Regions from separate parts of the Mus musculus genome. Here region 1 is reported to be linked to region 2. Evidence: microRNA targets listed by miRTarBase, many of them from high-throughput screens and not tested one by one. Region 2 holds a microRNA gene; the other region holds the end of a gene's coding sequence.

Evidence for each region. Region 2 holds the annotated microRNA mmu-miR-224-5p (UAAGUCACUAGUGGUUCCGUU, at 1,777-1,797, shown strand). A microRNA usually pairs through its seed, bases 2 to 8, with sites in the 3' UTR of a target mRNA and lowers its output. Matches are read on the target gene's strand: a 7mer-m8 pairs with bases 2 to 8, a 7mer-A1 pairs with bases 2 to 7 and ends in A, and an 8mer does both.
Region 1: miRTarBase lists Nphp3 as a target of mmu-miR-224-5p. Seed matches in the 3' UTR shown: 7mer-m8 at 3,659-3,665.

The regions. Positions count from the first base shown.
Region 1 is chr9:104,041,418-104,046,417 of GRCm38, reverse strand. It overlaps Nphp3 (nephronophthisis 3 (adolescent)), which reads right to left. Exons shown (of 27, transcript NM_028721.3): 27 at 2,607-4,466. The coding sequence ends at 4,286. It also overlaps the pseudogene Gm18998. Among named protein-coding and RNA genes, the nearest start is that of Uba5, 19 kb to the left of the region's middle.
Region 2 is chrX:72,257,706-72,262,881 of GRCm38, reverse strand. It overlaps Mir224 (microRNA 224), which reads left to right and starts at 1,770; the gene lies at 1,770-1,851. Gabre (gamma-aminobutyric acid (GABA) A receptor, subunit epsilon) reads left to right here. Exons shown (of 9, transcript NM_017369.2): 6 at 300-437; 7 at 4,316-4,468; 8 at 4,598-4,797; 9 at 5,050-5,176. Mir452 (microRNA 452) reads left to right here and starts at 574; the gene lies at 574-658.

The DNA.
Region 1 (5,000 bases), not on the chromosome of region 2:
AATGACGTGTATGAGTGACGTCACTGTCAAACCAGCAAGACCGCATTGGTGCACCCTTCACATTCACTTCACTGGTGATCACACCCAGGGTTGTATATAATGGGGATGATGGATTCTTTTTCACACCAAGTATAGGCAGGCAAAAGGTGGCTTTTAGCCCAGGGTACGTGACATGGGCTTTTTAAAAACGTAGACCCATAGGCCTAATGAATCTTTCATACTTAGGTGGTTTTCTTGTAAAGCCATCACCAACAAAACAGACGTTAGTAACCGTTCTCTTCCATGCCCTCTTTTTCCTTTTTCCTGTTTGAATAACTTTCAATACTTCTGTTTCTCTTTGGGCACGAACTTTGGGAGAGGGACCTTCCATTTTCCCACCTTTCCTTTTTGTTTCTGCTTAATCCTGTTGGGAAGTACTTCTGCTCTGGACTGCCCCTCTCTGTCCAGCAGACAGGCGGGGACTGCTCCCTGTGGAGTCTTCCCATCATCCCTCTCTCTGCTTGGTGTTTCTCTTTTCATGCATCTTAATAGTTTTTTTTCACTTGTATTTTTTGGGCATGGCGCTGTTTTATGGTAAAGCTTTGCCTTCTTTGAATGCTCATGGGCCTCCCAACCTTTCTTTCTTTCTCTTTTTCTCATGGTAGTCCGAACGATATCCATATTGTTTGCGGTGCAATACAGTATATTCATTTTGTGGCATGATGACAGCCACTGAACAGCTGTCTGTGACCTCCCAGGTCCCAAAAAACTCTTTAATTTCTGGGTGTCACTGGTCCACGAGCCTGCCTCTATAGGTGATTTTTATATTTATAATGAAGTTGAATGCTTCTAGCTTTGAAACTTAACATTTATGTTGCCATGATAAATTTTTACAAATGTTTTAACAGAACTTAAGCATATTGGATTGGAGAATAACTTTAAATCACTAGACATGTTGTAAATTTTAAGATGAGGTACATTTTTTTCTAGAATAATTCTTTAGAATTAATGGTCCATGAATTTTCTAAGGTTTAATCAAGTCTTGAACTTTCAGGTTTTGTTAAGGCATAACACATAGGATCCATCATCCTTTAAAGATCTGCTTTCTGTACCAAATTCTAATGTATCTCTCTTTTTTCTTCTTCTTTTTTTCCCTCTTACCCAGTAGTTCACTACTGGGTTATCTCAAGCAAGCAAGCAAGCAAACAAACAAACAAAACCAAGTAGGCAGCAGGCACCTGTGAGCCAATAGAGTTCTCCCTGTAGCCTGCAGCCACAGAGCCCGAGGGCCAGCAGGCAGTGGATGAGAATTGTCAGAGAGCTTCTAGCCGTTCAGCTGAATTTCTACACACTGGGTCCTAACAAAGGCAAGGAGTCCCTCACCGTCTTAGCACTGACTCTAGAGTCTGAGTCTAGGCAGTAAAGCCCGTCACAGCTTTGGCTCCTTACTGCTAGCAGAAAGGTGATCTGTGGCTCCGCGCAGATCTTTGGGGTTTCTTCTCATCATCCTGGACACCCACAAATGTAGAACCAGAGGAAAAGGCAGCTACTTTATGTCAGAGAAGCCTTGACCTCCCCAGGTGACAATTCTGCTTTTCATGATTCCCCTTCTGTCAAGTACTGAAGACAACTTAGAGCAAAGTTTGGTTCCTGCCAGCTCTTTATTAGGGAGTGTCTGAAAATTACCATTTCACTGTGTGTGGGGGGTGTATGTTAGCATGAACACAATCTGAGAATCACATCTATGCTAACACCAATATATGTGAAGCAAGTATCTGTTAATGGGAGCGTATCCTACTGCTTGGGAATCACACATCCTCACACAAATGTCTGGTGCAGGTGCTCTTAGCATTCTCATGAGGCAAAGAACACAGTTAGTGCAATAAATGGTAAAATCATGATCTTATTATGTACTAAATTTGAATGTTTAATTTAGAAAAAAAGGAAATATGTAATTTAGTGACCACTTCTGTTATCATTTGTACCATAAAGTCAATGAGATATCACTGCAGTTTCTAAAATATTTTGTATAATTCTCAGATCTAAGTTTTAGAAGAACAAAGACTATGCTGATTTGAAGAGTCTTTTAGAGTACTGGTCACAGATTATTTAAAGTTTTTTTTTTAAAAAGGTGATTAATACTATACTTTTAGTGTATTACATTAGTCATGAAATAGATTTTAAGCTTTGATATATTAGTTGTAAAAATCAATGTCTAATATGCTTATGAATTCTGTTATTTGTACCTTTCAGAGGGGGCAAACTCCAAAGATAGGTTATGGTCATATTTTAGCTTTTTAGTTCCTCTGAGCCTCCCTCAGAAGGTGGAAGAAGAAAGCTCATTTTGTCATGTCCTGTCTAATTTAACTTACAAGTGTGTAGACTTTAGCGACGCTTCCTAAACTCAAAGCTTTGGCAGGACTGACCTGGCCACCTAGCTCTCAGGCTGCTTCTGAGCGGGCTCAGGGAGGGACCTCAAGGTTACGTCTAAATTGTAAGTAAGTGTTGGCTGGTGATGATACTGGCTTCTGCATCCACCAGGAGTTGGTGACACTGGGCACACCCTGAGGTCACCACAGTTCTTCAAGTTGAGCAAACTATTGACTAAACTTGGCCAAAATTCAAGTCTGCTGAAACATGTTCAAAGTTTATTCTTAAATAACTATGCAAAATAGCCCTCTAATACAGACTGCAAAATGAGAGAACTTGCAATTACACTTTTATTTTAAAACATACATTTTTTATGCCTGTCATCTTTACAATAATACATATTGAGATCTTATAAGATTTTAAATCATTGAAAATTTTACTATATACAAATAAAAACAAATATCTAAAATGTGGCAATATTTATCAAATCTATAAAAATATTTAATTTCCAGTATAAAAACACCAACTAAGCGAGGTAAGGCAAGACTGATTTTGACCATTTACGAAGGAAATGGATTTGTCATGGCTTTTTGTATGTGTGTGTGTGCTGAGGACTAAACCCAGGGTCCGAGGCATTCTACTGCTGTGCCTTCAGCTCTATTCTATTTTGTGACAAGGTCTCACTAAGGTGCCCAGGCTGGCCTTGAACTCACCCCATACTCTAAGCTGGTACTGACCTTGAAAACCTGTGCCTCAGCTCACGAGTAGTTGACTTTTTAGACCTGTCCCACAGTAAGCAAGATGAGAATGGTAAAGAGCCTGGCACCTGTGGTGGCACGCATGTCGTCACTGGCACCTGTGGTGGCACGCATGTTGTCACTGGCGACGCTGCAGCACTGTGAGAAGCTTCCTGGAGACAGCACAGAAAGCGGAGGCTGGCTAAACCAGCTTAGGGAAGAGGAAGGCCTAAAAGCCAAGCCAGCTGTGGAGGCATGCCTCTGTGGTCCCAACACTCCGGGGGAGTGGGGAGTGATCAAGAGTTCATGGTCACCCCGAGCTACAGAGATTCACAATGTGGTAAGAGGCTAGGGTGATAGCTCAGTTTGTGAAGCGTCTGCCATGTCAGCATAAGGACCCAAGTTCAACCCCCAGAGCCCACTTTAGAGAACTGGGGGTAGAGATGGAAGCTTGTGCTCCGGTCTTAGGAGAGAGAGGCAGGGGTGTGGGTCACTAGGATGTGGACTGCCAGGCAGACTAATTAAGGGCACCAGGTCACTGAGACCCTGTCTCAAAAACCAAAAACAAAAACAAGTCACGGTGGACAGCGCCTGAGGAATGATACCCAAGGCTGACCTCTGTCCTCCATGTGTACATGCACACGTGTGTGTGTGTGTGTGTGTGTGTGTGTGCGCGCGCGCGCACATCCTCACACACAAACCCAGAAAAAGGAAAACAAACAGAGTTCCTATCTAGCTCGTTTCACTGAAGACTGTTCCGACTCATTATCAACATCCCTTTATATTATTTATATTATCAACATCCCTTTAGCCCTTGAAAGTTCTTTGAGGTAGAGAACTGGCTCAGAGCCCTGCTAGGAACAGACAGTGAATGGCCAGAGCTAAGGCTGCTCTTGAGGGAGAGAAAAGAACTGTGGATTTCTTAAACCATGGGGTCCTGCCAGCTCTTGTTGCAGAGACCAAGCCACTCCTCATGCCACTGAGTGCTGATGTCGTCATCCTGGATTTTATCCCATAGGAAACAGGTTCTTTAATCAATTTAAACTTGACACGACAATTCAATGCAACTCAATACAACGTCATATAAATGCCAGCTAAATAACACTAAGATGGAAAAAAAAGATTTTCTTTAAAAACACTGAGAATATTCCAGATGTTTAGCTGTTTTATCTTGAAGTATCCTTGCAAAGAATTGACGGTTAGCTTTGCCCTTGGGGAAGAAAAACGTTAGGGGAATGAGTTGTTTTAAAGAGAAATGTGTCTCCACTTGATGACTGCCTTGAAGGAGCTTTTCCACCCAAAAGTGATGTCTCTGCTTCTTTTATCTCCATTGCCCTTTTGTACAGTTCAGCAGCCTTTTCAAAATTCCCTTCTTCATAGCTTTGAGAGGAAACAACATGAGAGATGCACTGCTATTAACAAGAAACTCTTGCTTCTAAGTAGCCATCAAGGTGCAGAAAAACAAGTTGCAACTCATTTGCCATTCCCACTGCACTCTTTTCTTTCTTTTTTTAAAAAAAATTTTATTAGATATTTTCTTCATTTACATTTCTTTTTTTCCAATATTTTATTAAGTAGTTACTTCATTTACATTTCAAATGCTATCCCAAAAGTCCCCCATACCCTCCCCCACCCCACCCCACCCCACTCCCCTACCCACCCACTTTCACTTCTTGGCCCTGGTGTTCCCCTGTATTTAAGAAAATACCTAATTAAAAAAAAATAATAAAAAAATGCTAAGTGTTGTTATCACCTGCATTCCGAGATGAACGCACAGGAGTGAGCAAAACTCAACACACACCTAACTCATCAGCTCTGAGGTTAGTACGTAGCCCTGTCACCCCATAGGCAGGAAGTGCTGGTATAGGCTGTCTTCACTACTGTCCACAGTACACGCCTCCAAAAAGTAAGCCT
Region 2 (5,176 bases):
CCTACTTTACCAGTTGTTCCATGGGTAGAAATATTCAGAGCAACCCCAAGATTTAGAGTTCGATATTGCCTTGCTCAGTGAAATGTGAATGCTGGTTCACACCTTACTCAACTTTGCATTTGAAGCCCAGGGCAAATGTACTTATTGAATGCATTTTGACAACTAGGTCAGAGGCAGGGTCTCAAAGCTGGTGAAGCCAAAGTCAAAAGTCCAAAACATGGCTCAGGCTAACACCATGCTTGTGGGGCCCTCAACTTGGCTTCCCAGTCTCATTCACTCTTTCCCACTTTGATTTCCAGTTTCCTATGATGACAGTGAAATGATCTACAAATGGGAGAATTTCAAGCTCGAAATCAATGCGAAGAACACTTGGAAGCTATTGGAATTTGATTTTACAGGCGTGAACAACAAAACTGAAATCATCTCTACCCCATTTGGTAGGTGGTCAGTGGGAGCTAGAGCTGGGCAGAGTCTGAGGGAGGAGCACCAGTAACTGGAATTGGCTATTTGTCCAAATGCTGTGTAAAGAGGGCATGGAAACACTGTTGAGGGCATCACTCCTCTCTTATATATGCTAAGCAGTTACAACTGTTTGCAGAGGAAACTGAGACTTTATAACTATGTCTCAGTCTCATCTGCAAAGAGGTAAGTGCTTTGCCAAGCCCCTTGAAGAATGGGGTGAGTATATATATTTTTGTAACCTTCAGAATGTTCATCTAACTCTGGGTTTTAGATCCTTTGTATTCAGTGTCTTTGTTATATCACTAACTTACTTAGACAACATTGGAGACAGGTACTCGGGTGATTTCTCCAAACCCTGAATCAAGTCAAGCTGGTTGAGTGAGAAGCAAGAGGTAGAAGTGTGCCACTGACTGGGCCTAATCAGCCCCCCTCAACCTGTGGGAATCAGAGGTTTGGACAGATGGGCATAGAGTCAGCGGGAATTGACAGACACAGACATGAGAGAGTGTGCTGGATCTGAATGTATTTGTCAAATTGAGCATCAAACTTTTTATACAGAAGAAAATAGGGAAGTTGGGTGACACACCAGCAAGGTACAAAGAGGTTACTGGATTCTTACACAAGAAGCTGGAGTCATAATGGTAACTAGTGGGGGTTGGAGAGTCTGCAGGTAATTACTCAGCTGCAGTGGCTGGTACAGTAGCATTATCTTAAAGGAGCAACTCTGAAAAGCATGTATTTTCACCAAAGGCTTCATAGTGGAATCAACATAATCTTTGAAAATTTTCTGATCTTGTTCCTGACAAGGACAATAGGGGCAGATTCTGGGTCTCTTAACTTGTAACTCCTGAACAGATGTGAGCATCTTTGCTTATATTCCTAGGTGATCTGAATGAGGAGCCAAGGAGTCTTCCCAGGGTAGCTCTGAGAGCAACCCTGGACCTTCTTCACATGTACTGACAAGAATGTGGATGGAGCAGGTCACCCAGCCAGCCTTTTGTCATTTATTTTGCTTTGTGTCTGTGTGATGATGACATAAAAAAAAAAAAAAACCTGCTATTGCTACTGATGGTCACTGGGTGAGGGACAGCTTATGCTCATCTGACTAAAGCTTTGCTTACGTAGTACTAGGCAGGGAATGGGTGCTGCTTTTCCTTTTCCTGGGGCTCTGAGAAAGCCACTTTGCTTGCTTTGGCTTGGAATTCTTGCTCTTCTACTAGACAACTATGGGCCTGCCTCTTAGTACTTCAGTTTGTCCAGATAGGTGGAGCCCCATCATCAGAACTGGCAGAAGAGACAAGGCCCGGGGGCTTTTAAGTCACTAGTGGTTCCGTTTAGTAGATGGTTTGTGCATTGTTTCAAAATGGTGCCCTAGTGACTACAAAGCCCCAGAGCCAGCATCATCGGTGAAGCAATGGCAGTAGGTAAGCAACATCTCTTCCTGTGGAGAAAGAAGTAGGTCTTTTCCTTTGACTAGAAACTACTTATTCTGAATTCATAGTGTCTCCACTGTCAGTTATTTTTGAGTCAGGTCCCAACTCTCCCAGTTTGACACCAGGGCAGTTCTTCCTAGCTGGAACATACATGTACTCAATTTTCAGGGTTTTGAATGCAGTGGTGCCCTGAAACTTAGCCCACCTTGGACCTTAAAGCAGAGTTTCTGCTTCAGGAGCTTTTCAGAAAGTGCAGCCTTGTCTGTAGTAAATTAATCATCCTTCACTGATAGCTGTTGAGCCTCTAAGGAAATCTTGCCACGATCAAGAGGTCAGTGTCTTCTTGTAAGATTATTTTCTTCCCTAGACAGTTCCCCCCATTAGGAAATTCTTCTTTCTCATCTAAAATGGGAGTTTCTGGAATATTTCCCCATCAGATCTAGTTCTTTTCTCTTATAACTACCTGGCTTACATTAACTGAAGGTACTCTTCCAAAATCAAATGTAAAGCTCTTGGGTTGGAGCACACACTTGTATTCTATTGGGACTCTTCTCCCCAGTTCCTTTTCTTCTCTTGTTCTTCACTGCCTTCAGTTCACTAGTCCTCTGGACAGTCTTTTAATTGTGTCTTTAGCAGTGCAGCCCCCAACTATGATCTGGAAAAAGAGGTAAGAGCTAAAGTCATCTTTAATCAATTTTGTTTTGGTTTGGCTTTCAGTCCTAGATATGTCTCTTCCATTGGTATTGTTTCTTCACTCATTAGAATGAAGGAAATACATGTTAGTATCCTTTTCTTGTCAAATTTCTAGCTTTTAATAAATAAGAAAGTTTCTTCTTTAATCAGAATGAATAAATTTAAAGGATGAGAAATAAAACAGCACTATACATCTTGTGACAAACATATTAAGAAAATTTTTAATCACAGTCAAGACTCCAGGACAGATGGACTAATAATTTGGTCATTCTGGCAAGTAGTATAAAATGGTCCCTGGTTCAGTGCTAGAGGAATTCTAGTGTTAAAGATCCTACTATTCAGGCAGGAACTTTCCCACTGACCATAGCCATTTACTTGCCTTTCTCTGAAGAACCCAAGAAGCTTTGTTCCTCCAAGGTCAAGTCTTCCAACACTAGGAGGAAGGGTTGCTCTCAGTCTGTACTTGCCCACTCAGACTGGTCAGGCAGGTGGGCTGTTTTTTGTACAGTCTACAGTGTACACAGGGTTTGTGCCTGATTTCCAAGGTTATTTTAACCATGGGTTTCAAAAGTCACTGAGCACTATTGCTTGGTTGGTTAGGGGCTAAGCTGAAGGCTTTATATGAGCCCTTCCTGAAAGGAGCTTGAAGGTCCACCTAATTCAAAGTCACAGGTGGCTGTTTTTTCACAGAACTGGAAATTGAGGGCTTAGCTTCACAGAAAAATCCGTAGTTAAGACAATTTAATATCTAATGACATATGGAGAGAAAAAGTGTTCCTCTGGGCAAACTAAGCATGGAGTCATAATATTATGAAGAGCATCAGGAGCAGCATTAGGAACAGAATATGCAACTGGAAATACAAGTTTGACCAACTTCTGGAAGATCCATTCCTATCTAGAGTAAGTTCAAGAGAAGATCATTATGCCCAAGTGAATGTGACGGCCTACACTGCCTTCTGACTGAATATTCTGCAGATGTAACATCTAAAGCTTTACTGAAAAGATCATATTCATCTATTCTTCTGTTTTCCTACAACACTGAATTTATGTTAAGGAGTAATAGATTAAGAACAGTCGAGGATTTACTTACCAGGATAAATATATGTGCTATCTAAACTGGGAAGCAGTTCAGTTAGTTTTGGGTAAGGCATTCATGTGTGTATGCATATAGATGAGTCAAATCTAGTTAGGTCTTAGAATCAGAATGCATAGTATAGACTTTATTGTGTAGCTCATATATAGCAGAATATGTCATATTTGGCTAAACCAAGTAGGCATGCTGTGAGGGCTAGCAGTGCAGATAATACTGTAATATCACAAACTATACATTGCATTTCTATAGGTTGGAAGGTCTCAGCTAGCCATCAGCTATTAAGTCAGGGTACCATGAAAGCAAAGGTTATGGGGTTGGTTTTTATTTGTTTGTTTTTGTTTTTAACTTTCCTCTCACTACTACTACTCTGGGATAAACAGATTTTGGGAGAGTGAATCAGTTAACTGAAAGTGGGTTTATTAATACTCTTGTACTGGCTTATCTCTCAACTGGCCATGGGTATTACAGTAAATCTCCTCTCTGAGCTTCTACTGAGCTACACTGAAATAGTGTGCCTTTATTCTAGAACTCTGGAAGGGTTTCCCACGAGCTGGACAGTGGGATCCATGATATATGTGCCATTCTGGACATCAGGCCAGTACTGCAATGCAGAGGTATATTTGATGTCTTTCAGGTGACTTCATGGTCATGACATTCTTCTTCAATGTAAGCAGGCGGTTTGGCTTCATTGTCTTTCAAAATTATGTTCCTTCTTCTGTCACCACAATGCTCTCCTGGGTCTCCTTCTGGATCAAGATAGAAGCTGCTGCTGCCAGGGCCTCTGTAGGTAAGAAAGTATGGCGATCTTAATTAAACATGGGCATATGTCATAAATTAACGTTGACCAAGGGAAGTATTTGCCTTCTCCTGTTGTCCTGTCAGAAGCTTAGCCCATCTTCACTCTTTGTTCTTATAGGGGTCAGTTCTGTGCTCACCATGGCCACGCTGGGTACCTTGTCCTGTAAGAATTTCCCTCGTGTCTCCTATCTCACGGCTTTGGACTTCTATATTGCAATTTGTTTCGTCTTGTGCTTCTGCACTCTGCTAGAGTTTGCTGTGCTCAACTTCCTGACCTACAATAATATTAAACGACAGGCTTCTCTAAAGGTCTACCAAGTAAGTACCAGGTGTTGGTATGGGAAGCAAAACTGTAGACTGAAGATACGAGGGTTATGGCATGTGGGTGGCTAACTTTCCAAGTGATAAGAGGTTCCCTGGGGTTATAGAGGAAATAAACCTGGTGTGATGGTGGGAATCCCAGAGGACCTAGAACTGGTGTGGAAAATGTAGTTTCTAGGAAATTCTGGGCCAGATTTCCCCTTGACTCATATTCCCTTTACCATTTCTCTTTCTTTTTCTCTATTTCAGCTTCCAACCAATAGCCGTGCTAATGCACGTACTCGTGCTCGTGCACGCACCCGCGCTCGTGCTCGTGCCCGTGCACGACAGCAGCAGGAAGTGTTTGTGTGTGAGATTGTCACCTATGAGGAAAATG